Drosophila melanogaster: one gene and its partners. The protein of the gene in region 4 purifies or fractionates together with the protein of the main gene of each other region. This does not show direct contact. Each region holds a gene or a part of one and is shown on either strand. Other genes may lie near its edges. The genes, in order: Prosalpha6, Slbp, Jupiter and CG10638.

What was found.
Region 1: the proteins of CG10638 (region 4) and Prosalpha6 purify together in Drosophila melanogaster (affinity purification with mass spectrometry, with the first as the bait; one large-scale study listed by BioGRID). This does not show direct contact.
Region 2: the proteins of CG10638 (region 4) and Slbp purify together in Drosophila melanogaster (affinity purification with mass spectrometry, with the first as the bait; one large-scale study listed by BioGRID). This does not show direct contact.
Region 3: the proteins of CG10638 (region 4) and Jupiter purify together in Drosophila melanogaster (affinity purification with mass spectrometry, with the first as the bait; one large-scale study listed by BioGRID). This does not show direct contact.

Annotation. Positions count from the first base shown.
Region 1 is NT_033779.5:10,218,370-10,225,033, forward strand, and holds Prosalpha6 (proteasome alpha6 subunit), read left to right. Parts: upstream 1-2,981; 5' UTR 2,982-3,073; coding exon 3,074-3,076; intron 3,077-3,144; coding exon 3,145-3,774; intron 3,775-3,832; coding exon 3,833-4,039; 3' UTR 4,040-4,177; downstream 4,178-6,664. Other genes in the region: Npc1a (Niemann-Pick type C-1a), read right to left, coding at 1-33, 410-502; Bcs1 chaperone, read left to right, coding at 4,777-6,072; CG5708 (uncharacterized protein), read right to left, coding at 6,391-6,523, 6,589-6,664. UniProt on the Drosophila melanogaster protein: The proteasome is a multicatalytic proteinase complex which is characterized by its ability to cleave peptides with Arg, Phe, Tyr, Leu, and Glu adjacent to the leaving group at neutral or slightly basic pH.
Region 2 is NT_033777.3:29,149,870-29,156,447, forward strand, and holds Slbp (Stem-loop binding protein), read right to left. Parts: upstream 3,398-6,578; 5' UTR 3,271-3,397; coding exon 3,115-3,270; intron 3,054-3,114; coding exon 2,379-3,053; 3' UTR 2,205-2,378; downstream 1-2,204. Other genes in the region: eIF2D (eukaryotic translation initiation factor 2D), read right to left, coding at 71-1,362, 1,421-1,820; Rpn2 (regulatory particle non-ATPase 2), read left to right, coding at 3,862-4,804, 4,867-6,174, 6,433-6,578. UniProt on the Drosophila melanogaster protein: Involved in histone pre-mRNA 3' processing and couples histone mRNA production with the cell cycle. Both maternal and zygotic proteins play an essential and vital function for development.
Region 3 is NT_033777.3:11,600,204-11,608,352, reverse strand, and holds the start of Jupiter (jupiter), read left to right. Parts: upstream 1-3,598; 5' UTR 3,599-3,767; intron 3,768-4,069; 5' UTR 4,070-4,149; coding exon 4,150-4,211; intron 4,212-8,149. UniProt on the Drosophila melanogaster protein: Binds to all microtubule populations.
Region 4 is NT_037436.4:12,496,114-12,504,567, forward strand, and holds CG10638 (uncharacterized protein), read right to left. Parts: upstream 5,199-8,454; 5' UTR 5,124-5,198; coding exon 5,052-5,123; intron 4,930-5,051; coding exon of another isoform or gene 4,762-4,929; intron 4,688-4,761; coding exon of another isoform or gene 4,518-4,687; intron 4,442-4,517; coding exon of another isoform or gene 4,099-4,441; exon of another isoform or gene 4,088-4,098; intron 4,040-4,087; coding exon of another isoform or gene 3,860-4,039; exon of another isoform or gene 3,688-3,859; intron 3,657-3,687; exon of another isoform or gene 3,489-3,656; intron 3,376-3,488; coding exon 3,208-3,375; intron 3,152-3,207; coding exon 2,636-3,151; intron 2,575-2,635; coding exon 2,377-2,574; 3' UTR 1,993-2,376; downstream 1-1,992. Other genes in the region: CG10657 (uncharacterized protein), read right to left, coding at 897-897; CG10681 (uncharacterized protein), read left to right, coding at 5,668-5,834, 5,891-6,362; CG10646 (uncharacterized protein), read right to left, coding at 6,512-7,492, 7,544-7,714; vih (vihar), read left to right, coding at 8,433-8,454.

The DNA of each region.
Region 1 (6,664 bases), on a different chromosome or scaffold from region 4:
ATTGGTGTTGCACACGCCATACCAAACGCAGTCCTTAAAAAGTTGCAAAATAAGTTAATAACATTATAGAGCAGAGATATGTAGAGTGAGCTAAGCTAAGTTGAAGTCTGGTTTTTAGCTATCTTTTTGCTGACCCCAAATACCTTTTTCAAATTTAAATATTACTTCCAAAACTAAGTACGTCATCTCACCGCCACCCAGAGCTATAAAAATATATATTTTTTCTAATTGCCTTGCATCTGTTTTAGCTCATTCATTGTTGAGGTGAAACAACAGCTTTTCCAATACAATTTACCAGTCCATTTTCAGAAATGATTTTACGACGACTAATCTGCGCGATTAAAAACCCAGTATGCTTAATATTGATAAAATATTGAAATTTAATGATAAAAACCAAATGTTAGTTTACCTGTTTCGATGATTGAATTAGCGTAAAGAGCACAGCAGCGATGAGGATGTGTACTCCAAATGGAGATATCCTGAGCGGGGATCTTGGACTCATTCTATCACAATCGCATATCTGTAAAGAACGTTTTTGGTTAAAGTATGCACCTGGGCTTACTATTATGTATGATATTCGAAGTAAGAGTCTCGGTTTTCGACTAAGAACTGAATCAAATGTAATCCGAGCCTGGCAAATTCAACGTTTTCGCTTACACAAATAAAGTACACTTCATGCAAATTTGCGTTTAGCCAGATGAAACCGTTTTCCAACGAATTAAATAAACATTTATTCCAGCAAACCAAATATATATATACAAAATATACAACGAAGTGAGTTTTGGAACACTTGCAACTCGCAATTGCGATATCTGGCGATTAAATTGTTGTTTAGACTCTGCAGATGCGCTGCAATTCGATAAGCAGTATTCCTAATAATAGAACTGCCTCCTAAGGAAAGAATAACAATAAAACTGATTCATTGCCACGCTTCAATATCCATTCAGTTTCAGTCAATATATATTGCTGAATGGTGTAATCAAATACTCGAAATTATAATGTAATCAAAACAGTGCACATTATATGGTTGGGTGGTTTAGAATTTCGGATAATCCCTCCACTCATTAAAATAATATATACCGATATGAAAACCAAATATACCAAAATAAAAGATTGCGTTTGTTTCGAATTTGTTTAACTTTTATTTGCCAAAATGTTTTGTATTTACAAAGAAAAATGTTAGTAAAATTTTCAAAAATACCACATGTTTTGTTAGGCATGAATATGAATTAATAAAATATTATTCAAAATTTCTAAGAATGCTAAAATTAATAGCGGAATTTTGACAAAACGATGGTTAAACTTTTAATAAATTAATATTTATAAATCTTTATGACTTTGTGTCATAAAAATCAAACTAGAATATGTATTAAAATAAATTTAAGATAAATCTAAACAATTGCATTCGTATTTAAAAAAAAAGATGAATGATTTTACTATCTTGTATACTGAAAATATTCTATAAAAAATGCATGACAAAAAGAATTGAAATAGTTTTCGAAATCGTACACCTATGATTTGTGTGCTAATTGACACAAAATGCGTTTTAATATCCAAAAAACTCGTGATCCATTAAGAGCAGTTCAAGAATTGTGACCCAATGGTCAATATAGAGTGAATCCACGAACACTGAGACCATTTGATACCGACTAGCTAGGTTAACAAGGTAGCTGGGCATGGAGCTACATACATAAGTCGGGTTTGGTCTTTGACATTGATACGTTAAATTTCGCGCTAAAACGCATTGTCGTTAACTGGCTTTCGTTATATGTATCTACAATACTAAACGACTACTGAGAAAGTGATGATGCAACTAGTTGTCTGATTTTATGGAGGGGGAAATTCCATTATGCTCGCTCGCTACGTACTATGTACAACTTCTTGGGAAATCGACACAACCGCTTCGATTGCCTTTTTTCCCTTCGCCACATGCAAATTTGGCTGGTGGTCAGTCGCATTTGGTAAATGGCATCGGGAATGGGATATGATCAGCGGATTGAAATATTCTGTGCTGGTCCATTCACGATGTTTTATTTATATATTTATTTTGCGCTATTTGGATATGTAGCTAAGCGGATGTCACGGAATAAAGCAATCTTGTAGCGAAGATATGGGAATACGGACAGCGAACAGTAGCCGCATTGAAGGGCACGCAATATAAGTATACTATCACTTTCACAGAAATCGTTAATTGTAAACATTAGTAATGCGCCGAACCAATAAAAATGTTTTCTTTGTTCGTGCACATACGTATATAGGGATATTATGAGGTGTACATATGTATGTAGCGGTTTGTGTGTATGTGTGTGTGCAATGAAGTCACCTTAGTTAATTCCTTCAGTTAATTAAATTACACGGCTTTATGATTAAGGTGCGCACGAAAATCTTTCTTTCTACTAATCTTAACAATGCAATTTTGATGCTAACACTTTCGAGTGGAGGTATATATATAGGCGAGCATATACCCTCGACAAACAATCCGATTACGGAGCTACAAACCCTCGGTCCCAAAACAGGAGAGAGTGAAAACTAACTGAAATATACAATTAAAACGTAAACACTCCCACTGACAGCTTATCAGACTTAATGGCAAAACAATCGATTGTAGTCGATATGCAGTGATTCCGAATGCAAGTTGGGAACAAGCGAATGGAACAAGAAATTCATTTAATTTTTTAAGTATGCAGTTAATAAATTAAACTAAATATAACTTAATTGTTAGTTAAGTCCCGATAAGCCGTTATAGTTTAAAATTGTATTACTCACATGGTATGCTGTAATTGTTGGTCAATTAAACGTGTGTAGTCAGGTATAATGTGGTGCTGGAATTAATTTAACTACGATTAACAAGGTGCTCATACAAGTTTACTGATTATAATTAATATCATTATCCCCTTAAATTTGTATGCATATCCTACAATGTTCTATTGCATCGTTCCAAAAATGATAGCATGCCCGAATCCCTTATCGATACCCGATACACAGTTTGTTTGTGTCTCCCGGCGTGCCATAACTAACTATCGGGCATTTCTACTTGTCATCATTGAGCTCAGCGGCTTGCATTTCAAAAGTCATGGTAAAGTGTTTATTGCGAATAATGGTGTGCTAACTGCATTTGTTACAAACTCACATCTTTGCTTTCAGTTTCGCAACCAGTACGATAGCGATGTTACTGTGTGGAGTCCGCAGGGACGTCTCCACCAGGTGGAGTACGCAATGGAGGCCGTGAAACTTGGCACCGCAACCGTGGGCCTGAAAAATAAAGATTACGCTGTACTTGTCGCCCTGTGTAAGCCGACATCGGAGCTATCGGATACCCAGCGCAAGATCATCCCAATCGACGATCACCTGGGCATTTCCATTGCTGGCCTCACGGCTGATGCCCGCGTCCTTAGCCGGTACTTGCGCTCCGAGTGCCTGAACTACAAGCACTCGTACGATACAACCTATCCAGTCTCGCGTCTGATCACTAACCTGGGCAACAAGATGCAGACGACCACTCAGCGCTACGATCGCCGTCCGTATGGAGTGGGCCTTTTGGTCGCCGGCTACGATGAGAGGGGTCCGCACATCTATCAGGTCACGCCATCGGCGACCTTTTTCAATTGCAAGGCCAATTCGATCGGATCGCGTTCACAGAGTGCACGCACCTATCTGGAGAAGAATTTGAACAAGTTCTTGGACAGTTCCAAAGATGAAATCATCCGTCACGGAATTCGCGCTATACTCGGTACCCTGCCTACGGATGAGCAAGGCAAAGATGCCGGTCAGTATGTAAGTTCATTGCACATTTCCCGTCGCGAATAGTTAGTAAATTGTGTTTTTCTTGCAGGACATCACTGTGGCCATCGTCGGCAAAGACCAGCCATTCACAATTCTCTCTAATAAAGACAGCGCCAAGCATGTGGCGATTGCCAAAGAGAATGACAATGATACGCCCAGGAACGACGATGACGATGATCGCCCATCCCCCCCAGAGGAACCAGCAGCCGGACCACGCGACCCAGAAGTCCTGGTTGCAACCGAGCAGCGTCCATAGGCATTTATAGGGCTATGAAAGCATCTTAACCATTAAAAATGTAAGATTCAAGGATACAATAAAATTGTTCATGCATTTGCATAGATCCTAAAACGGAACAAACTGAATAAATGAATACAAAAAATCAATGTTATGGGTAAAATTTTTTGATTTTAATTTTAAACCTTCATTTATTATTTATTTATAGTATTTATTAAATATTGGTTTTTCGATATAAGTTTTCCCAACTTATTTGCATTTTTCCGATTTCACAGTTCGGTCACACTGTTGGATTAAAAATATTTATCAATGCCGGTATTGAAACATTTCTACTATAAAAAAATGTTGATTGCTTTTAGTGAATGACAAGTTATCCTCTAAGATGGTTTTTATGCCAAATAAAATGTGCCACTTCAGCGGCAACTTGTATATTTATTTGCTCACACCTAAATTACAATTAATTACATAACGAGAGTGATGGCAAATGGTTGATTTAAATAATAAAATTACATGGTTTTCTCATGAGAAAATAAAATTGTTGGTGCCTTTGCTGAAGCGCACGTAAACAGTATATGTTAGACTTCAGTTTTATTTGTTTAAAAAGTTGCTTCGAAAAGATGTACCATTGTTTACAGGAGGAACCCATGTTTTGGATGATAGATTAAGCAACAGGTGTTGTTTTATAGGGTTTTATTGCCGAAAAAGAGTAAAACACTTTAATTAAACGTTGATCCTTGTTCTCGGTTTTTGCAGACAAGATGACTTTGCCCGATCTTGTAGCTGGACTTTCGTCAAATCCCTACTTTGGTGCCGGTTTTGGACTATTTGGTGTGGGCGCCGCTGCTGCCATATTGCGCAAGGGCCTCCAGGGCGGAGTGATACTGTTCCGGCGGCACTGCATGATTACCCTGGAGGTGCCGTGTCGGGACAAATCCTATCAGTGGCTGTTAAAATGGATTACGATCAGAGGAGCGCGAAAAACGCAACACTTGAGCGTGGAGACAAACTTTGTGCAGAACGACAATGGCACAATCAAAACCAGCTATGACTTCATACCCAGCATAGGCAAGCATCTGTTCCAGTACAAGGGCAATTGGATTCAGGTGGAGCGGACCAGGGAACAACAGACATTGGACCTTCACATGGGTGTTCCTTGGGAGACAGTGACGCTTACAGCGTTTGGTAACAATAAAGGTATATATTTCGATATCCTCGAAGAGGCTAGGCAGCTGGCTCTGGAGGCCACAGAGGGCAAAACCGTGCTGTACACAGCGATGGGTGCGGAATGGAGACCCTTCGGACATCCGCGCAGAAGGCGTCCCACTGGATCGGTGGTGCTGGATCGCGGAACTTCGCAGCGAATCATTGCCGACTGCCAGGACTTCATTAAGAGCTCTCTGTGGTATACGCAACGTGGAATCCCCTACCGAAGAGGCTACCTTCTGTACGGGCCACCTGGTTGTGGCAAGTCTAGCTTTATAACCGCCCTGGCGGGCGAACTGGAGTACAGTGTCTGCCTGCTAAACCTATCCGAAAGAGGCCTCACCGATGATCGACTCAATCATCTCCTGAATGTTGCGCCAGAGCAGAGTATCATTCTGCTGGAGGACATCGACGCAGCATTCGTCTCGCGCGAAGCTACTCCGCAGCAGAAATCCGCCTTTGACGGTCTCAACAGGATAACGTTCAGTGGACTCCTAAATTGCTTGGACGGTGTGGGCTCCACGGAGGCCAGAATTGTCTTCATGACAACAAACTACATTGACCGCCTCGATCCCGCCTTAGTTCGTCCTGGTAGAATCGATTTAAAGGAATACATTGGCTATTGTACGCAATATCAGTTGGAGGAGATGTTCAAGAACTTCTTCGCCAGCAGTGACACCACAAAAGCCGAGGAGTTCGGAAAACGAGTGAATTCCTTTGGACGCTCCGCTAGTCCGGCGCAAATTCAAGGCTTTTTCATGAAGCACAAACTGTCCTCGCCGCAAACTGTTATTGATTCTTGTGAAGATATCTGGGAAAATGTTTTAGATCATAATAAAAAGATTAATTGAATTGTTGTGGATTTTGTTTACTTGAAGCTCTTTAAGACAAGACTGATGTCCCTTTTGGGTCTTAATTAATTAAAACATCTATCAATTTTACTGTCATTCGATATTAGTTTATGTCATTGTTTTCGAATTTATTTCATTTTTCAATGATTTAAGATTATCCATTCGTTTTTATGCATAGTTGCACGTGTAATTCCCAATCGAACTCACCTAAATGAAGGTCTTGTTTTATATTATGATTTAATTACATTTTTATAGGTAATTTAAAAATATGAACTATGTTCTAAAATATATGTATATTTTATGTGACATTAAGTTTGATTAGTCCTTTGATCTTCTGGGCCTACCGACCTTTCCTTTCCTTTGTCCAAGCGTTCCATTCGAGTTGGCGGGGCCCTTAAGTAATTTGTGCCAATCTTGTTCACACACCAAGCTAGCTCCTAACATAGTATACCTGCAAAAAGAAAAAGCAATTCCATTTCAAATTCGCTCTTCACTGCAGTGTGTTGTTAGGCATACCTATCACCAGGACGCAGACTGGATCCACACTTAGCACAACTAAAGCACCTTAGATGAAATACGCAATTAATTATTT
Region 2 (6,578 bases), on a different chromosome or scaffold from region 4:
CTACAGTTAATAAATAATTTATTATTACACTCAAGAGGACAGGCGGAGGAGGCTTCATTTATTGTCCGGCTCACTTCTTCTTATTCTTCTTGCCGTCCTTGGCCAATTCCAGGCCCAGGATGCACTTGGGCGGCACCTTGTACGTTTCCGTGAGCAGCGTGTGCACAAATCGCACCTGGTTGCCCTGGATTTGCAGCTGCTCGTGCTTTTGGTGCGGCAGTTTCACCACACTGGTGCTGGCGGCGGCTCCCTGCTTGCACAGCTTGATGAACTCGGCCAGGATGATGCCGTACGCCTCGATGTTGCTGACCAGCGTCACCTTCTTGTTGCCCGATCGCGTGGCCAGGGACATCTGGATGAGGGGCTTCCCGCTCGTATCTTTGCCGCTGCACATCTGGTAGGAGTGCTCCATCTTGCTGGTGATGAGGGAGCACATCTCGCTTAGCGAAACCTCTCTGTTACCATACAGCTCGATCAGAGTGTCGTCGGGGCGCACCAGCTTGGTCAGCGGATGGAGGAGACCATGTTTGCTCACGTACTCCCGCACAATCTTCTTGATCTGACCCGCCGGGATTCCCTCGCCGCGCTTGTAATTCAGCTTGGTGAAGAAGGCCGCCGTAACATCGGTCACTATGTACATCTCCTTCAGCTCGGAGTGGAACAGGGGCGTCTCGGACGCCGCTCCATTAGCTTCGCTTGCCTTGACATCGGTTATAAAGTTCACCACTTCGGGGTGCTCCAGGTCCACAGATGTGATTTTATCCACTCCCTTGCTCTCCTCCCGCACCACAATGAATCCTTGGTCCACCATCTCGGCCAGAAAGTTGGAGAGCTTTTTGTAGCGCGTCTTCTTCAGGTCGATTTGCTCCGTGGCCTCCGTGACCACATAGAGTCTGTAGAAATTGCTCGTCAGCAGAGGCAGGGGCAGCTTCTTTCCATGGTTTTTCAAGGCGGAGAGGAAGGCATTCTTGAGTATAAGTTCTGGTGAGGCTTCCTCCACGGCTTCTTCGTCGGACTCGGGAGCTTCCTGGCTTTCCAAGGTCAGAGCAGCAGTTTCCGTTTCCAGTTCCTCGGTTTGGGCCACCGTAGCGAAGGTCACAGGAGCGGGAGTAGCTGGGCTGGCGGTCTTTCTCCTTTCCGTCTCAGACCCAAGAGCAGGGAAATCCTCGCCAGACAAGGCCTTTGTCTTGACCAGCGGGATTTGCTGCACCAGACTGGGCTCATGCGACCAGAGCTTGTCCCCAAAGAGGTGGAGCATCTTGATGGCCACACCGTGACCTCCGCACATGTACAGTTCATCGCTGGAGCGAGCCAACTGGCCCACGCCCACCGCAGATTTGTTGTTTGTGAGGTTTACGGCCACTGAAAAAGACAATGAGATCAATACTCGTTACCTGGGGAATCCCAAGCAGATACCCACTCAACTGTCCCTTTTTGAAGTGCCCGTACATGCTCAGTCCCACGCCCAGGGGCACCACTCCGGGCAGCATGAGATCCGCTCCGTTCGTCAGCTTGGGTAACACACCCTCGTGGGTGGTGAAATAGGGCAGGATGTCCGGAACGATCCACAGGGTGTACAGGGTGGGCACAAGTTGACCGCCGTCCAGCTCGAAGAACAAAGGCAACTTGTCCACGCAGTAGACCATGCTCTGAACACCGCCGTGCGTTAGGATCTTCACCTGGGTCACCGCCGCCTTCGCCGGCACCAGCTGATCCACGGACACATGGGGGAACGCCGCCTCCACGCGCTGCCGGAACTTCTTGCTATCGGATCCCTTGAGGGCAGCACTGCTCTTGGGTCTGTACGGCTTGAGAAACATCTGTGTTTGGTGGTGTGCACTTGAGGAGTTCGTGAAATGGTTTGGAGTGGCACATGCACAGTGAAAACAAACAACTGGCAAACGGGGGTGCTGCTTTAGCTATTTTCTCGCCAGTTTGTATATTTAAAAAAATATCAATGGGATTCGATATTCTAAAACCAAGTATAAGAAACATAAGAATAAGATGCAGAAAAAGAAATTAACATAAAATAAAGAAGTGAGTCCTGTCTTTTCTTTTCACAATAACTCTACCCTAAATCAAAATTAGTTAAGAGCAGACGTTATTACAAGGACAGCACGCGCAGTAAAAATGCCGGCGGTCCGGAAAATTTCGAATCACCAAGGACTTCCTCAGGTAGCAAACGACAGAAAACCCAGGATCTTGTAAGACGCCATTTTATTCAACAAAACATCTGCGTAACAATTCCCCGTACACGGCCTTGTGACTCGAAGATGCGTGTTTGATTCATAGTTTTAACTTTGTACTTGAAATAAAAATTAGTAGTTAAACCCCCGATATTTGAAAAACATAGCCCGGCCCGGTAACAAGATTCGATCCTAGTCAGAATCCGAGTCGGAATTACTGTCCTTGGCCGTGTCGCGCGCTTGTGTAGGTGGATCATAGATGTGGAGGCTTTTGCGCCAGATCTTCACGAGCCCATCGAAGGCGCGGCGGCTGTACTTTCCATACTTGTTCGGGGTGCGCGGATGATCGCGAGTCCGCTCGTCCTTTGGCACCATTTCCACATAGCGCTCGTAGGCGGCAGTATTCTTTCCGTAATCTATTTGCTTCTGCCTGCGACTTAGGATGGCGGGATCGGCTTCGGTGTAGGAGGATGACGATGAGGTGGAGGACGTGTAGCTGTTGTGGCGCACCCGTTTCTCCTCCTTGTGGGCGCGGAAGTTGCCAGACTTTTTTGAGTTCCTCGAATGGGGATTGTTGCCGCCTTTGGGCGCAGCTGCATCTCCGTTGGCCGAGGAGTTGCTGCTGTTTGGACTGTTGGAGCGACTGTTCTCGTTGCTGGGCGGCGTGAACGAGTGTCGGCGCTTGTAGGGCGTTTTTAGCTTCTCCTCCTTGACCAGGCGCTCGAACTTTACCTCGTTGACGCCATCCAGGAACTCAAATGCCATCTCCCGGCCCTCGCCATCTTTGGACTCCAGATTACCGTCGGCTGTCTCCTTTTTGGCCAAGGAACCGCAGCTGGCAGCGCTGCTATTCAAGGAACTGGAGGCCTGCACGTGCAAACAAGAGAATTAATTGTGTTCCCGATCGTAGCAGCCAACCTTCACTTACCTCGTCACTGTGGCCAAACTCCGCGCGGACCTCCTGGGCCCAGCTCTGCATGGTGGGCTTCACATCGATCGAAATGGAGGATGCTGAGGAATTCAGGCTGCCGGAGCCTTTCTGCGGTGTGTTCTCCACGGACATGTGCTGATCCTCGCAGAGCATGTTGTGCAATTATCTTTCGTTTGTTTACTGTGCTGTGTATGATGCGGTCCGCTGCTCCAGGATGTTGTCGCGGCGGTGTTTTGCGTTTTCTGCGCAAACCTTCGCGCGTTTTTTGTTGTAGATGCGATGCTCAGTGTGCCCAGAAGTGGAGGTGGTAAGAAGGCGGCAAAAAGGTACCACAACACAGAACAACCTGGTCACTCACAACTAATTTCAAACTATGCTCCAAATGTATTACATTTCATTTCAATTTTGTTAAAATTTGATGTCCAATACATATTTAAACATACAGAAAATTAACAGCGATTTTTAAATTGTCTGAGGGAGGCTCAAACAATATCGATGCATCGGTACACATCGATAGCAAGACATCGAGCAACCAACCATTACCAACACTGTCTGCTTACCGAGTGATTTAGCATTTTTTCGGCACAAAAGAAAACTGAAAATTAAAACGGTGCAATTGTTGGTTAGTACGCAAAAGAACGATTTGTTTTCATAGCAAACGTAAAGTTTTCGAGCCCAAGTTGAACATACGTCACTTTAAAATCCGTAGAACATATTTTTGACTGGAAACAACGCAGCTGGAAAATGAGTCTTACGTCCGCCGCGGGGATAATTTCCCTACTCGATGAGCCAATGCCGGATCTTAAGGTGTTCGCCCTCAAAAAGCTGGACAACATCGTGGATGAGTTCTGGCCGGAGATCTCGGAGTCCATCGAGAAGATCGAGATGCTGCACGAGGATCGCAGCTTCCCCGAAAACAAGCTAGCTGGCATGGTGGCCTCCAAGGTGTTCTATCACCTGGGCTCCTTCGAGGACGCTCTGACGTACGCCCTGGGCGCTGGTGATCTGTTCGACGTGAATGCCCGCAATGAGTACACGGAGACCATCATTGCCAAGTGCATCGACTTCTACATTGCCCAGCGGGTGGAGTTCATCGAGAACCCTAAGGAGGCGAGTGTCGTGGACGAGCGGCTGGAGGGCATTGTGAACAGGATGATTCAGCGCTGTCTGGACGACAACCAGTTCCGCCAGGCTCTGGGCATCGCTCTGGAGACCCGTCGCATGGACACCTTCAAGGACGCTATCATGAAGTCGGACGATGTGCGTGGCATGCTGGCCTACGCCTACAACGTGACCATGTCCCTCATCCAGAACCGTGGCTTCCGCAATGAGGTGCTGCGCTGTCTGGTCAGTCTGTACCGTGATCTGGGTGTGCCGGACTACGTGAATATGTGTCAGTGCCTCATCTTCCTGGAGGACCCCTTCGCCGTAGCCGAGATGCTGGACAACCTCACACGGTCCTCGGTGGAGACAAACAATCTGATGGCCTATCAGATTGCCTTTGATTTGTACGAGTCGGCCACGCAAGAGTTTCTGGGCAATGTGCTGCAGCACCTCAAAAACACCGCTCCTATCCCAACCGCCCTCCCCAGCACATTTAAGCCCCAGGGTACCACCTCCGAGGATGGTGCCAAGTCGGAGGGAGACAAGTCCAAGTCTGACGAGGATATCACAGAGGAGACGCCAGGTAAACCCGGTTTTCTAATCCAGTCCCTTAAAATACTTATAAATCGCATTTTATTCACCTAGCTGATGATAAAGTAGAGCGCACAATCGATTCCCTTAACGAGGTTGAAAAGTTGCATCAGAAGAACATTGAAAAGCTCATATCGATCCTCTCCGGCGAGGTTTCCATCGACCTACAGCTCCAATTCCTCATCCGCAGCAACCACGCCGATTTGCAGGTCCTTCGAGGCACAAAGGAAGCGGTCCGCGTGTCTATCTGCCACACAGCCACTGTTATTGCCAACGCCTTCATGCACAGCGGCACCACCTCCGACCAATTCCTGCGCGACAACCTCGACTGGCTGGCCAGGGCCACGAATTGGGCCAAGCTGACGGCAACCGCTTCGCTTGGAGTAATTCATCGGGGTCACGAGAAGGATTCCCTGGCTCTCATGCAGAGCTATCTGCCAAAGGAGGCCGGTCCAAGTTCTGGTTACTCTGAGGGTGGTGCCCTTTATGCTTTGGGCTTGATCCATGCGAATCACGGAGCTAACATTATAGACTACCTGCTGCAACAGCTGAAGGATGCCCAAAACGAGAATGTGCGTCATGGCGGCTGCCTGGGACTAGGTCTCGCTGGCATGGGCACCCATCGCCAGGATCTGTATGAGCAGCTGAAGTTTAATTTGTATCAGGATGACGCGGTTACCGGAGAGGCGGCGGGCATTGCCATGGGTATGGTCATGCTGGGCTCCAAGAACGCCCAGGCCATCGAGGACATGGTGTCGTATGCGCAGGAGACGCAGCACGAGAAGATCCTACGCGGCCTAGCCGTGGGCATCTCCCTCACAATGTTCTCTCGTTTGGAGGAGGCCGACCCCCTGGTGACCAGCCTGTCTTCCGACAAGGATCCTGTGTTGCGCCGCTCGGGAATGTACACCATAGCTATGGCCTACAATGGTACTGGTAGCAACAAGGCCATCCGCAAGCTGCTACACGTGGCCGTCTCCGACGTAAATGATGATGTGCGACGTGCTGCTGTGACAGCCATCGGCTTCATCCTGTTCCGCTCTCCGGAGCAGTGTCCCTCTGTGGTCAGCCTTCTGGCAGAGTCCTACAACCCGCACGTTCGTTACGGAGCCGCAATGGCTCTTGGTATCGCCTGTGCCGGCACAGGTTTGCGTGAGGCCATTGCCCTGCTGGAGCCAATGGTGAAGTTCGATCCGGTCAACTTTGTGCGCCAGGGAGCTTTGATCGCCTCTGCCATGATCCTGATTCAGCACACGGACCAGAGCTGTCCCAAGTCCACCTTCTTCCGTCAGCTGTACGCCGAGGTCATTAGCAACAAGCACGAAGATGTGATGGCGAAGTACGGTGCCATTTTGGCTCAGGGTAAGCAATATAACACGATCCCTTTTCGTTATTTATGCAATTATATTGAAAAGCTAATTAGTTTGTTAATTTGCATCTATTAAACATTGGTTTCCGTAGTTTTCCCGCCAAGCTTCGAGATAAGATTAGTAGATACTCAAAATTATAAATATTCCATTTTTAACTAAGCGAACGACTATAGGTATTTTTGTAGGAATTGATTTATAATTAGTAATCGTCCTTTCCAGATCTTTCTAATTAGGCATTGACTATTTCCAGGTATTATTGATGCTGGTGGCCGAAACGCTACTCTGTCCCTGCAGTCCCGTACAGGACACACCAACCTGCAGGCAGTGGTGGGCATGCTGGCTTTCACCCAGTACTGGTACTGGTTCCCCCTGGCCCACACCCTTTCCCTTGCCTTC
Region 3 (8,149 bases), on a different chromosome or scaffold from region 4:
AGGGGAATTTTGAATGTTAAACGCTGGATGGGGCATGGCTAAGTTTCCAGAGCACAAACCATCGAGCCAGGGAGCACGGAGCACGGATGTCTTAGCCTACTGGTAACCGCTCACCTTTCTGACCGAAAGTCGCTTTTTGATGGCTTTCAGCTCACCGTGTGTTTGACTTCCTCTACTGTTTTCCCCTTCTCAACTACTCCATTTACTTTTTTTTTTTTTTTTGTTTGGTGGTTTCGGTTGTTTGCAGTGCACGTTTTCCTAATTGCTCCACTTAATCTCCGCTTTTAAGACTTTTTGGTGGTCAGTCAATGGCCCGCAGAGAAAACTAAATACTATTCATATGTGAAAATGTACACAGGGGCAGTGCTCCTTTGTTTCAGTTTGCCATTTGGCTGGAGATACATAAGTGTAAGTGAAAGATGAAAGAAATCTGTTTGCATTGAGTGATTTCATGGGTCGTTGAGCGTCCAGCCAAACAAAACTAATCTAATCAGATAGGTTTGTTTATATATCTATAAATGCATTTATTGACTGTCTGCTCATTAAAGAAAGTTTACTATTCGCCCCTCGGGGTTTTTTAACAATAGCTTTCGCTCCTATAACACTAGCTACGAGTATATCCTGACCAAATCCATTCAAATGTGCCTTGAGCTGCTTCCTCACCTTCTCACGATCGTTAAAGGCTCTGAATTATTGCACCTGTAACTCCAGTAGCTGTGCCCACATCGCTAAAAAAAAAAAAAAAAAAACAAAAAAAATAAGGAGCGTGAGCTATAAAAGTGAGTGTAAAGTTTTAATTAACGAAAGTTGGCCATAAATATGGCTTGGAAAATGCATTTCCGAATGTCACAGATACATGCCACAAATTTCCATATGTCGGACACGTACGTACAAACGTATGGATTATCCATTATCCATCATGGTAATTATGCAGGGCTTCGGCAGCCGGAAATTTCACTTTGTGCAGTGAAATTATTTATTGGCTTAAATATTCGCAGTATGTGCCGAAGAAATGTCTGCTGCTTGGCTTGCAAGAGGTGAGGTGTCGTTGCGATGCGATGCGATGCGATGCCTGGTTTATAATCATTAGGGTTTGCCGCCACATCACTTCAATTGTCAGTTACCGCTGCCCACGTTCAGATACTCGTACTCGTACTTGTACTTGCAATCCATCCCTACTTTAATGCCTTATGATGTTTTAACTACCTCGAAGTCGACCACATGACAGGGCACCACGTCCACATGGAGTCGGAAAAACGGGACGTGGGTGGGGAGGTGGGGGTACTGGGATGGGGCAGACGACTTCGATTCGAGATTAGACACACACACGCAGACACTGTGGTTACCCGAACTAGTGGCTTTAGCACACCGTCTCTAAACTTAACCAAAAGCTTATAATATTTTATATTATATATATGTATATGTATTTATATGTACTTTGGCGAAAGCCTGTTTAAATGTGAAATGTGTGAATGCGAAATAGGTAAGAGACATATTTATGGAAAGCGGAAATTTATTACGATAAAACAGTCGAGCACGCTCATATGTATTTAGCCAGAGACCACTGTACACGAAATAAAGTGAGTGCCGACTGCGTCTAGTTCCACCATTGCACTTCTCCTGGGCAAACATCAGGCGACACTTAACTATTAAGCAAGAGCTGCAAGAGAAGTCGGTGAAGGAGACGGAGCTCTCCTATTTTTAACCGCATGTCCCCACAGTCCCCATTCCAAGTCATTCCCCCCGCCCGCTTTTATTATTCCATTCCTGGACAAGTTGGTGCTGTTAATTTTTTTTAAGGGGAAAGGAAGAGGATACATATTATATTTTAGAAATTATCTCAAGATTATTCTTATATCAAGATTACCATAATTGACGTTACTATAATTGAAATTACACCATAATTGACATATTTTTCAATATTTCTCGCAGTAACAATTTGAATAAACTGTGAGTTGATGGGAAACTAGCTGAACTGTCAACTCTGGGGCAAGTACATAACGCCTAGGCTTTTACTTGCGCACAGCGACCGGCAAAAGGGGGCAAGTGGCATGTTGGTGTCAGGTTGCCGCATGTGCACCACTCCGCCGAATGCCCGCACCACCTCTGGCAACCCGTGCACCGCTCAGTGGGTAGCTAGTCCCACGACCCACCGATGGTAAAATAGCAAAACGGCAAGAAGCAGCGGCTGCGGCGACGACACGGCCAGTCAACTTTTGGCTCGGCTAAACAAAAGTGTCTTCGCAAGCTAAAAATAACCACTGTTTTGGCCCAGCTGCTTCCAACACACCCCTACCCTCTCCTCATTTTCCCGCCGACTTTGTGGCTCCATGGCCCGATCCTCTTAGTCGCTAGCTTGCGCTTCCTGTTCTGTGTGCAAATCTGTGCCAAATGTTTTCCAAGAAAACGCAGTATGCAAATACATATTGCATTTAAATTCTTGCTGCAGCAGCAGCAAAGCAGCAGCAAGTGTGGCAAATACAGGAAAAGGGGCAAAAGGGGCGGCCTCATTAGTGGCAAGACACTTGAAATTAGAGTTTGCAACTACTGCTACTGCTGCTGCTGTTGGCCCCAACCGAACTGAACGCTTGGCGATGATGAAAGTGATTTATGTCCGGCAAAGCAATGTTCCTCAGCTCCTCGTAGACACGAGACCCGATGTCTGGCCTGGCAGCAGCTTCATCTTGGCCAGGAAACATGTTTGTGGGCTGCTACCGCCTTGCAGCTGTGCTGTCCACACCCTGTAATCAAAGATAAGAAGCGTGTTGGAAATGGGGGGGGCTAAGTTCATAATGTTTTAGTACAAACTGAAATAGATATGAGCCTTTCTTTCGGCATTCAACTGCGATTTGTTTGTAGAGCTTGGATTTAGATTATAATAAGGTTTGGGTTTATAAGCCTGGTAGTTGAATTTTAGTGAATTGTGTATTTTTTGCAATCATTCAATAAAGTATAAATTTGATTTTTGCTATGGGTACATTTGGGTTTAAAACTTTGAATGCACTTGATTTTTTTAAGAGAAACTAGTTTTAAAAAACGAAGAAGATCAAGCAGAAGAAGCTGAGAAAAGAAACAATTGCATAGGAACCCTGAAGTGCACTAGACCTGAACTATTACTATTTTTTCGCTTTTCTAGCGCTTTTTGCAATGGCACGGCATAACTGAAGCATATCTGCGCACACTTCTCGCCGGTGGGGCACATAAAATGAGATAAATAAATGCAGAATGTTAATCCCGCAAGTGTCTTAAACACGGCTTAAGTATATGTTTTATTTTCGCTTCAGTTCCTGGCGTATTTTAAACTTTTTTGTGACCTACAAGCGGAGTGAAGAACTCACCACGAGTTGGGTTCTGCCCCACAAGTGAGAGATAGAGAGAGGGAGAGAGCATGGAAGAGAGCGGGCTCCAACTCTAATCAGCATCAGCTGTAGTTTGTTTTTGTTTTGATGCGCCACATGGCGGGCACTCACTCTCTTGCGCTCCCGCTCTCTTCCCGTGCAGCTTTTGCGCTCTGAGTGAGTTGGGTTTCGGTCGTTGTTTTTGGATCGATAAAACTTCTCGCGCTGCCGTGGTATAAAATGCTTTTCACTTTTCCCACTGCACTTTAGTCGCCAGACATTTATCGAAACGTGCACATCACCAGCGGTCGCACACTCAAACATATTGCATATATATATATATATATATATATTGCTATCCCAACAAAATATCCTTCGAATCGAAAAAAACCCACGCGAGTGCAAATCAAAAGTTTTTTAGCTTTCTTTGTGAGTGAAGTGTTTTTTGGGAATTTTTTCGGTAGTTGGTTGGGAAAACGTTGCAAGATATCCTGGCTTATCCAACTAAAGGAATTTCGTCCGTTTTCTGTCCGCTCTTACTGCACCCCCCTCTCCGCATATCTCTTGTCCGTTCTCTCCCGGGATGCTCCTTGCATTCTCTCGCAGTTGAGTAGGGTTTATTGATTTTACGCACATGCAGCATCCCCATCTATGAGTCATCATCATTCGTCCTGCAACATTTTCCCCCACGTGCCTAATCTCCGTTTTCCCCCACATCCGCGTGCGCTTAGATTTTTCCAGTGCGAAAAGTAAAGCAATTGCATCCATTCAACAGAGAGATTATCCTTTCGCCAAACAAATAGAAACAGAAATGGCCGCCTACGCTGCTTTCAAACACGTTGAGCTTTACAATGTTGGCAAAGCAAAGAAGAGGTAAGAAATTCCTAAAGGATACAGTTAAAGTGACATTTTTAAAGACTTCAGAACAAAGAATTTGCATGTCAAAAAATGAATCGATAAATTCGTTGTCCGGATTTATTACACATTTTTACACGGAAAAGGGAGTTCATCAGTTTTTGTCAATGCATGTCCCCATGCAAGAAAAGTCGTTTAATACGAGTACAAAAAGTGGCCTTTGTTAATAATGCTTTTGTCAAAAACCATCTTCTGAGGTTTTAAAAGGGTATAAATCACCATGACGCACAAAGAGAATCATATGGCTGGTAATTTCAGTAAATAGATATATTATCAATATTTATTCAAAATGAGTCTCACTAATTATGACAAGCTGCAAAGAATTGAAGGAATATTGTTTTGACAATGACGAACAATGATTAGTAGGTTCTTTATTAACAAATAATGTTCTCATGTAAATCATTACAGCTAGGACAATCAATATATTCTGTATTTGTTTAAAAATCTGTGTATCATAATAACGTAACTTACACGATGTTACTCAATGTGTTTGACTTATATTGAGGTTATTCGCCGACCGACTCATTTTCCCTGAAGTTTAACAACTGTTACGTGCCTACTGCACATTCTGTTATTGTTTGCCATCGCTCGAGTGAACTTTGATTGGCAAACATTTCGGAAGGCAGCAGCCTCATCGTGATCTGCATCAACATCTCCATTTCCATCTTTATCCCATTGTCTGAGCTGTCGGGCCGCACAAACACCGCACACTTACATATTCATTTGGTTATGTGTGTAGATTAATTTAGCGTTCATTCACCTCGCCGCCGCCTGACTGACTGACTAACTAATACTACCCATACAGTCGCGTGTGCACGGGGCGTATGTGTAATCTGGGGAGCACCACTTTTGCAAGCGCCTACTTCCCACAAAACCGAAACCACCTAGCAAGTGAACCACCACCACCCAGCAAAGCCAAGCCAAGCCAAGCCGCCGGTGTTGGCATGTCTTTGGATGTCGTCTCATTGATTTTCCTTTGCCAACCCAACGGCCACCTGCCCCACGCCAACCCACCGCACAAAGCACCACCCGCGACACCACCACTGCAGTCGTCCACTCGATGCTACCGCACCAAAGTCAAAGGGACCGACCGGCGTTCTTTGGGAATATACCCTTTCTTGCTCCGAGGCGTATGACAATCTCTTTTCGTGCCATCAAAACAATGCGCAATTTTAATTACGAGGTGTTAACGAAATATACTATTTGACGTGACACTACTACTAATAATAATAATGTTTGCACATCTAAGCAAAAGTGATTTCTCGGCTTCATCTGTGTTTCATTTAATTTCAAGGAGTAACTGCCAAACCGCTCTGTCAGTCTTTGCATAAAAAAAAATGGTGGCTTTATTAAACTATTTTTAGTTTATTAAAACTTGTTTTATTAGTACATAGACTTTGAAAGTTCAAAGTGTAGAATGGCATTTTTACAGTTATGAAGCTTATGATTTTTTATGGCATACTAAAATCCATAATAGCCGCCTATGGTGTACTAAAAACATTGGTTATGCAGTTATTATGAAAATTCAATTTTAGCTTCAACTCACTTTTCGGCAATCAAACAGATTTGTTAAACATAAAAACTGATTAGATTCGCCCATTATCCAAATGATACGAAATATAATAAAATGTTTATTATTGAACAATCACGTCCTATTACCGCTAAAAATAAATCATTATATTATTACCGTTTATCGCCGCTTGTACGACGAGGGTATTTCCCCCATCGACTTCTCTCAACTATGGCCCGCCTTTCTTTTTCAGTTAGTTTCGGCATTTGTTTTTGCATGCAATTCTTTGACCAAGCCCCATGTGCCCAGCACCACCCATTTTTCGCCTTTCGAGTGGGGAAACAACAACAAAATCGTTATCGAAATGTTTTTCGCTTATGTCTATTCCGTATACCACTCTTACGCTCTCGTACCTGTTCCGAGTTTGAATTCGTGTCCAAGTCCGCTTCCCTGTCCGCTGTTCCGACCGTCTGTCCGTCCGTCCGTTCAACTGTCCGTTTGTCCGTTGTCCGTCGTCCGCTGGTCCGTGGCGGACATTGAACCCCGCCTCTCTTCGCGGCCGTTGGGATCGGAGATTAGTTTTGGTCGCGGCAGAAACCAAATAGAAACAATTTTCCTTATGTGTGCCATGTGCATTATAAACAATTTGCTGGATTTTATGGTCCATCGATGGGTGGCTGGCTGCTGGGGATAAAGTGTGGAAAATGTGTTAATCATTGTCATTGATTGCGATTGTGTAACATACCGCCTTGGACTTTCCCGCCGGCGGCTGGGGGGAAAATGATTAATATACTTTTCCTCTGCATTTCGATGCAGCGTTTTGTCTGCCGTGTGTGTGTGTGTGTGTTCTCCTTTCTTCGGCAAAGCCATGACTTATTATTGTAAACAATCAAATTAAATCTCAAAGGTGCGACGCGCCAAGATATCGGATTGAATTGTCGCTCTTTGTTGCGTTGTATAAGCGGCGGAAATCATGACAATTCATTTTGTTTATGGCATTGTCTATCCATCTGACGATCATTATACGCTTGAATTCCTTTGCACAATGCCCGCATATCTACTGTTTACAACCTGAAGTTAACCTCATTCTGCAAGGAAAGTCGGCAAACAAATCAAGAATTTCCATATATTTATAACCATATATAATATACCGCGATGGGAATGTTTTTTTTTTTTTTTTTTTGGCGTTGCCAAGTCAACATTTATGCAAATGATTGCAGAACATGCGGAAAACGAGCCAAAGTCGTTATAAGGAATAATCAACAGAAATCTACACCACAACCCCACCACATACCCAGTATCAGCATGACCTATTGACAGAACCGAAAAGGAAATCAAACACATTTTACCGTAATGCCTGCGTCAATGTAATTCCTGTTGACACGGAAATCGGGCAGGAAAAGTGAAGAAAAACTTTTCGGCCCTTGGTGAAAGTGTGTTCCCCTGGCAACCCCAAAATGTATATGGTATGTACATTATATGGACTCTTGATGGAACCCTAGTGTACCTTAGAGTGCCTGATACGATGAATGAGGCTGTTCAGTATTCAATTCGCATCGATCGGGCGAAAATTGAAGGAGAAGGAGAAAGAGGAGTATTTTGGTTATCCTCTCGTCGGGAGGAGCTGTGTGTGAATATATTAGAAAGTCCTTTCGCTTTTCACAAAGCCGCAAATTAATCAATACAAATTTATTAATTACATATTTAAAAGCGGCAGATCTGCAACTTTCGCTGCGATGAGTGTGTCAGCAATTCTGGTATGGTTTGACTTTGGCTTTGGTTTCGGTTTTGCTCTCTGGCTCTGAAATGCACAATTTACGAAGCCAATCCCAGCTTACGTACGCATATACATAATAATAAAAATGCCAGCATCACTATCGGCATCTACATACATGCGGCTTTTCCAAGCCAGCTTTTCCTTTCCTCTCGAGCACAGCACACTTTCCTCGGAAACGGCAACTGCAACCGCACACGGCTAATCGATAATTATTCATCGGGCTCAGGCCAGCACTATCGATAATTGACAATCTATGGTTTGCCTGTGCCGCACAAAAAAAAAACTCCTTCTTCCCAGCATTGTCCAATTATGAATTTTCATCAAATCCCGCACCGACCATTAATCACACCTCCAAAAAAGAAAAAAAAAAAAGGAAAAAAAAAATAAGAAGAAACACCACCCGCTGCGGTTTTGATTTGGTGCCCTCTTGTGTCTTCCTGGTCATCATGTCTTCGGTGGAGGAGCCAATCCTCCATGCCCGCTGTCATCTGACACTTTTCACGACCGTGACTGACCAGGAAAACATATCAATTTAAATGCTATTGCCTTGATTGAGCCCGGGAAAGGGGGAAATGGGAAAAGCGCGTGGAACTGACACTCAAATTGTAG
Region 4 (8,454 bases):
ATGGCTTTGTCCCTGGCAATTGCACAATAGCCACTTGCCATGAATATTTATATGCGAACCGCACAAATTGCATTGCATTGAGTACGTTTTCCAACCAAACAACATAACCGACCAACTTGGCTTTTACGGTATTGGCCAACTTCGGCTGTCGGCCGAGAAGACCTTGTGCGCCCGGGCCTCTTGTGGTCTGGCTGGGCAATTAAGCCAGCAAACAGAATTACAAAACTCTCGAAGAGCTGCTAACTATTGGCCTTTAAATAATTGACTAGAGCGAAGCACTTGCAGTGGGTCAATAAAGCACAATTAAAAGGCTCTAAACAAAAAACTATACGATTTTAGTTTGGCTACACCCACGCACCTAGTTTAGAGCAATCAACAAAGGTGTGCAAGTGCTACACTGGGAGAAATTCAAGGAGCTAGCGAAATATAACTAAAAATATTATTATTATTTACATTTTAAATTGAAATATTATTGCGCAAAGATTTTAGAAAACATTTTAATAGCTTACTATGAAAAGAGCCTATGAAAAAATCCTTTAAAAATAGCTCATATATCATATCTATAATTTTATATATTTACCAACTATAGTATCATTCTAAGAATCTATCTTTTCTGGCTCAAAAAGTACAAATGTATCTTATTTGGGAACCTGATTTATTCAAGTCGATAGTGTGGCTGGTTTATCCCCGGCAAACAGTAGCAATCTGCGAATGTATCTGCGCATGCGCAGCAGCTGCAGCCAGCTGTACTTGGGTGAAAGCGAAAGTTTTTCCCCGCCACCTCGCTTTTCTCGGGCCTTTACATAATGCACGATTCGATCCTTTTTGGTTTTGCAACCAAATAGATGGTATATGTGGGGGGGGGGGGGGGGGTTGTAATTCTCAGCTCAACTCACTTTTGGTCTTACGCACTGGCACTGCGTGGATTTCACAAGTTGTTAAACTTATATAACAATATTTGGACGCGTCGCAGGGGAGGGATGTGGCTGAATTCCGGGGCTCTAATTGATCGCCGGAATATATGTGTATATATATCCGTGTATGAGTTCCGCAACTGAACTGGCGACGATGTGAACGTGGGCACGCTTGGAGCGAAACTGCCAATTTTTTGACTGAAAATTTATTTAAACCTCACGCTCTCGGCCGCAATTCACTCACTCAAACGCTTGAGTGGAATTTTGGTTGGAGTGGAGAGGCTAAGAGGCTCAGTGGAGCACTTAGTGAGCATCCGATCCCAGCTAGGAGATACCCATCTGCAGCATGGAAAGTGGTTTTGGTGGGTTATGTTATTCTTGGCCTGGGTCAAGGTGGCGCATGCCACAGATTCTCCTCTAATCGACTCGTGGAGCAGCACGTAAGTCCAAGTCCGGTCCGCTATTTAATTCACTCATCCATGCACTATTTTGGGGCAGCTCAAAGGCTAGACGACCCCAATTTCATTCAGCCCGTGCTCATCTTGGCTGGCTCTGACGTCACCCCACAGGCCGAGGTGCTATTTACAAAGGTCTACGGCGGCGCGATTAACCCAAAATGTACCCAACAATCCAAAGATAATTAGCCTGTCGGGCGTAATAGGTACATCAACTAATAGCCATAATACTTTCATGCTTCATTTCTGCGGTTGGCGCAACTAATAGCTTCCGCGTGATATTTTTTGGCCATACATCAGAATAGAAGATCCATTGATAAGAGAATGTTGGCAAACAAAAAATGCGTCCTTAAAATTGATGTAGCAATTTAGGCTAACAGCTGGCAATCAGCACAAGTTCTTCTAAAAGAACGTTTTTTAAATCACATATCCATCTTAAATCCATATGCTTTTTTACGTCTTATTTACTTACTAAACTTTTTTCTATTTTCTATATCTAAAGTTACTGTAGAAAAGCTTGAAGCACCTTCTAAAAATATCACTAGTTCATTAATCAATGTCTAAGCTGAACAACTATTGAAATGATTGAAATAATGCAGGTATACAGTTTTTTCCACATGTAACTTAAATTTGAATCTCCATTGGTGATCTCCAAGTTTGAGCACTTCGCATTACCATTGGTCGTAAAAGCTTAATACTTAATATTTCGGTCTTATTCAAACATTTTCACCTTTTAGCTTGGATGTCAAACGTGCCGTGCCAAAGATCGATGCTTCCATTTGCTCCTCATTTCTGGGAATAAGTTCCACGGTGGGGTGCGGATCGGATCGTTGGCAACTGGACGGATTTCATGGAGAACATCAAGGCACTAAGAGCTTTGTGTTGGATTTGGGTTTGGAATAAGTATGCAGATACATTCGTGCATTCAATTTGTTGTCATAGAGATTGATGTAATGACAAATTTATTACATTATATTCGTGATACAGCAACAAGGCGCTCATCTGGTTTAAAACTCAATTGAAAAGGGGTAGTACTTGTGGTTGAGGCCCTTAATCAAATTTAATGGCACCACCCGTTCGCCAGTGTGATAACCATCGAGAACGGCCATTTCCTCGGCTGTCAGCTCAAAATCGAAGATATCGAAGTTCTCAGAAATTCGGTTAGTATTCGATGACTTTGGAATGGGAATGACACCCAGACCAACCTGCGAAAAGAGAGATTTTAATTAGATGCTGTCGCTGAGGTCAGGTTGATGCCTCAATTACCAGGTAACGCAGCACAATCTGCGGTGTAGTCTTGCCATATTTTTTGGCAATAACAGCCACCTCCGGCGAATAGATAAAGTCCGGCTTCTGAATATCCGGCTTGGGCTTTCCCAAAGGCGTGTAGCCCGTCAAGGTGACGTCGTTCTTCTTGCAGAAGGCTGTCAAAGCCTTCTGGTTGAGCGCAGGCGAGCACTCCACCTGGTTAGTGACGGGTTTGATCTCGCAGTTGGCCAAAACTCGTGCCAGCTGCTCGCTGTTGAAGTTGGATACTCCGATGCTGCGCACCAGGCCCAGTTTTACCAGCTTTTCCATGGCTTTGTACGTATCCAGATAGTCGACATCGCTCAGTTGGAGCACATCGTCCTCATTTTTGGGCAGCAGGGTGTTGTCATCTACATATTTGTAGCCCACTGGCATATGCATCAGATACAGATCGATATAGTCCAAGCCAAAATTGCTTAACTGCTTGCGGCAAATGCCCTCAACGCGCTCTGGATCGTGGAAAATGTTCCAAAGCTGCGCAAAAATATAATCTTATTGATAGATCTAGAACATATCATCATGGCATTTACCTTAGTGACCAAAAATATATCCTCTCGCTTGACCACACCTTCTGCGATCTTGTCCCGAATCGCCTTGCCCACTTCGGCCTCGTTTTGGTAGAAATAGGCCGTATCTATATGACGATAGCCCACATCAATCGCATGTTTCACAGCGGCTTCGCCTTCGTTGTCCTTCGACTGCAAATAGAGAATATCAAATTCATCATTAACCTTTCTCCTTTCTGACAGAATCAAATATGTGTTTTATAATGCGACTCTTGAGATCAGTATATTGTTATTTTCGACCACAGCAACACGTTCGTTTCGGCCAGGAAATTGTGAGCATATCGGAGAGCCGCGAATTGACAAATCGAAACAATATCCGAAATTATACAACTGATCAACGTCGCAAGGCACACGAAAGATTCGATAAACTTTGATAGAGACATTTAGAGAGATACAAATAATTATTTCCCCAGGTGAGCACTTAAAATGTTAATAGGATCATATCTAGCACAAAATATAGTATATTTATATATGATAACGATTGATATGATGACATTTTATAACATTGTAATATTGTACTAAAAAAAAACTAACGTAAAAACTAAACTATCTAACGAGATTCTATCTTATACATTTACATAGTTACACTTTTTTTCCGAACACTAAATATCTCTTGCTAGTACGGATAGTACTGATGATTCTTCGCTTTATCGAATTTCCAGATTCTGCGCCCTGTATTAAAGGTCTTCATTTGGAGCAACTCCTCCGGCGTTAGGTGGAAATCAAATATATCCAGATTCTCTACGAGATGGGCTCGCTGGGCAGCTTTTGGAATAGGTACCGTGCCAATATCGATCTGTAGATTTTTAGCCAATAAATATCTTTATCACTTTACAATTCTAAGGTCGTTTATACCAAGTATCTTAGGATGATTTGAGCTGGTGTCTTGCCGTATTTCGCTGCCAACGCCAGTAGCTTGGAATCAGTGTAGTAATCGGGCAGCGGATTGCAGGCTTTGGGACGCCCCAGTGGCGAATAGGCAACCACGGTGATATTGTGAAATTTACAGAGCTCAATTAATGGGACTTGCACCAATTCCGGATGACATTCTATTTGTAGGTTTGCCGGCTTGATTTGGCAGTTTTCCAGTAATCTCTTCAGCTGATTGGCATTAAAGTTGGACAATCCCAAGCTGCGCACCAGCCCCAGATGCACCAGTTGCTCCATACTTCTGTAGGTGTCCACATAGTCCACATCGCTATAAGTTCCAAAGATCAGTTTCTTTAAGCTTCTTGAATCTAAACTATGTATGTTTAGTTGTATCCCAAACTCACTTGGTCCTCAGCTGGCCATTCTCGTGGGGCATCAGATCTTCATCAGAGATGTAGTCCACGCCCACCGGCGAATGCATCAGATATAGATCTATATAGTCCACGCCCAGTAGCTTTAATTGCATATCACAGGCGTATTTCACCATCTTGGGTTCGTGGTATATGTCCCACAGCTAATTGGATATTGATTTTCGATCTATTTACATGTGCTGGTAACTATATATAACCCATCTGTACTATATCCTACCTTTGTGACCAGAAACACCTGTTCGCGTTTCAGTTTCTGGTCGCCAATAAGTTTAGCTAAAACCTTGCCTATAATGCCTTCATTCCTGTACAGATATGCGGTGTCTATATGCCGATAGCCCATTTCGAGGGCGTGGCACACGGCAGCCTCACAGCGAGACTTCTTTAACTACAGATAACATAATTAACTTTCAATTTCACAATTGCACTTAATTGGAATTGAATGGTAGAAATTTCCATAAACAATTTCTGCCTGCTGATTTATTAGCATCGCCGATGATAAGGACTTACATTGTAGGTTCCTAGGCCCAGAATTGGCATCTCGTAGCCATTGTTTAGCTTAACAGTCGGAGCGAGCTTCATTTTGCACGTTTAAATCAAGAATAAATAAGGAAATTCAATCGCTTAATAAAAAAAAAGCCGGTGAGCATAGTGTGACCAAAACGGCTTTGCGTAAAAATACCCAATGCCATTCTGCTAAGCTTTATTATTTAAATATTTTTAAGTGTTTAAATAGCTAAAGAAACTTTGATTTATATTAAATAGGAACAAATGTTGTCATAAAACAGTGTTAATTTTATGTTAAAAAGTAAAATGTTCAAATTTAATTACGGCAGTGCTTTTGCATTTTGGCAGCTTGCAGCACTGGTTTATAACTAGTACTTAAACAGCTGTTACGAAAATATCTTTTTTTTTAAGAAATCTAAACAAAAGAACTTTTAAAATAGATGGAAACATGAGATCCATTTGAAAACGTAAATAAAAATAGAAAAAACTAAAACTGCCAGCAAACGCACACAAAGCAGAGTTCAAGTTGTCGCAAAGAAACCTTGAGACCTTGAAAAGCAAGTAAACAAATCAATTTTTGTGTTCTCCCTTATTATAAACAAATAAATTCTAGGCTACAATGAGCCACTTGGGCCTTGCGGATGTGCACCAGTCCGAGGATGCCACTCCTGACCTGGAATCCTTCACTGGCTTCGGCAACTCCGCCGCCGAGGCCTTCATTCAAAGTCTCGCAGGAATGGTGAATCAGGGCGATGTGGAGACCATGATACGGGCTCAAAAGCAAATGTAAGCCATTTCATTTAACCAGAGATTATAATAAACATCCAAAATATATCCCACAGGCTGCAACGCTTTGAGAAAACCAACGAGATGCTGCTCAACTGCAATGCCTTATCGCAGAGTCGTTTGAAAAGTGCCAGCGAGGATTTCAAAAGACACGTGAAATGCCTGAGCGAAATGAAGAAGGATCTGGATTACATATTCCGCAAGATACGGATCATCAAGCAGAAGCTACAGTCGCAGTTTCCCGCCATTTACGCCGAAGTTCAGCCGCAGCGTAGCAGTTTGGCTGAGGAAGCCGAGGATGATACGGAAGCCCAGGCTAAAAAGACTGCAGAAACACCTGCTCCTGCTGCCGCAAAACCTGTCCTATCCACCAAGAAAAGTGCCGCCACCATAGAGTACGTGCAGATGGAGGAGGCAGTGGACAATGGCACTGTGGAGATCGAAAACGAGCTGATCAAGCGAGTTTGTTCCGTGGAAACTGCCAATCCCAATGATTCCTCCGACTGCACATCCGAGGATACAGGTTAAGCCTAATTAGCTTTAGTCCCTCGATATATTTATCTTCATATAATAACTTATTGGTTTAATATTTGTATAACCTGCTACTACATACAAGGACACAATTCGTTTAGTTAGATTTAAATGAAATATGCGTAATAATTTAAGAAACTAATGGCTTAAAATATAATCTGGTACTTGTACTGCTTGGGCACCTTTGAGATTATGACGCGACCATCGTAGCTGAGCGAAGCAAAGATCCACGGATCCACATTGCTCCACTCCGCGCAGTAAACGGAGTCCTCGTGCTGATCGAAGGTCTGCAGCAGACCATCTGGCAAGAGTTTGTGCCTCTCCTCGGCATCGGCACCACTGAAGTTGGACTCATCTAGTCCAGCCTGAACCTGCGTCTCCGAACTAACCGATCCCGCACACGTGAGCAGCACCTTGCAGTCACTGGAGCTGGAGAGGATCAGTTGGTCGTGGAATGTGTTGAAGCGAACGCACCAGACCCAATGCGAATGATCGGAGCGCTCGAAAACGGGAGCCTTGGGCATGCGACAGTCCCAGATCCTCAAGTAGCCATCGTCACCGCCGGTGACCAAATGGCACTGCTTGTTGGGATTGCAGTCCAGGTCACGGACCATTTGACCATGCGCATCGTTGATGCTCCAGGCACAATGCTGTGTATCCCGCACATCGTAGGCACTTAGATTGCCATCCTGGAGGGTGAGAAACTGGTGGCCCTGATGATGATGCGACCACTTGCCGCTGGTGAAATGCTGTGTGTGCTTTGCAGATCCACTGGATGAACCACTGGCCGGCACCTCGGCCACCACGCGAGTAGAGGACTCGGCCCGCTGCATCACAGCCACCTTGTTGTCCACCACACAGGCGAGTGTGTCCTGGTTGGGATGGAATTCGATGGTCTTCACACGTTCGCCCAGTGCTTCGGTATCCAGGACCTCAACCTGCTCCCACGGCAGGTACTCTGACTTCAGCTGCTCCGGATCGGGATTGAGATTCTCGGGCAGCGTAAACAGAGCCGCTTTGGTCAGCACTTGTGCTCCCTTTTGTACATTGTAGACGGAGGCCAGCAGGCGAGGATTACGCGGACAACTATTTAGTTTCCAAACTTCACCCAGGGCGTGCTCAAAGACCTGTTCAAAGTTGTATGTTTAGCTCATACTTTGATCATCCCAGATATTCACCTTTGATTGCACGGATCCCTGCTCCTCCTCGTACTGGATTAAGTGAACCTGATTGGTGGGCTTCAAGGAGTTGGTGGCTATGAAGAAGCACACATCGTTGCTCTCTCCGTACTGAGGTGTTAAAGCCCGCGCCTGCAGTTCGAGTCCGTAGATTAAGCTATTTTCATCCATTTTCCACGATTTACTCAATGTTTTGATTTCGCTGGATATCTAGGTACGCAACTTACGTACACTAAACGGCGTACCTAAAAGTGTTGGTAAGCATTTATCACAAGGTGGCAGCCCTCGATCATATTACAAAACAATATATAATTTATTTTAATAAAATTAAAATATTTACATATATAAAGAGGCTTAAATATATGTGATTTAATATATTAAGCTCAAAATATAAAATAAATAATATTGGTATTCAAAATCCATTGATATAATTTGGTTACACTTAACGTTATGCCTTTTAAACGTGTAATAATTATACATACTTGGAATAGTAAGCTAATTATAGTATTAAGCTTAATACGTTTATAATCTTTACTTACCTTTGAAACATTTTCCGTTATCTCTCGGCCAGTGTGACCGTTCGACCACGCCAAGAGAGCGTATCGACTCCCCCCAAAAATAAATGAAATACAACCCTGTGCCCAAACACAGTTTCTTCTCGTTCTCCTTCCATTTTGTTTTCACACAAAAGTGAAAAAAAAAATATCTGAAAAAGCAACAGACGCGTATTCCGACCGATCAAACTAAATTTCCACTATACAGTACATATAATCACAATTGAGAATCGAAAACCCGACCGCCACGAAGCGCGCTAAATTACACGCACATACTGAAAGCCAAACAGCGGATAGCACTAGCATCCTACATATATAGACGTAGATATATAGTCATGGCGCAGAATATCAGCCCCG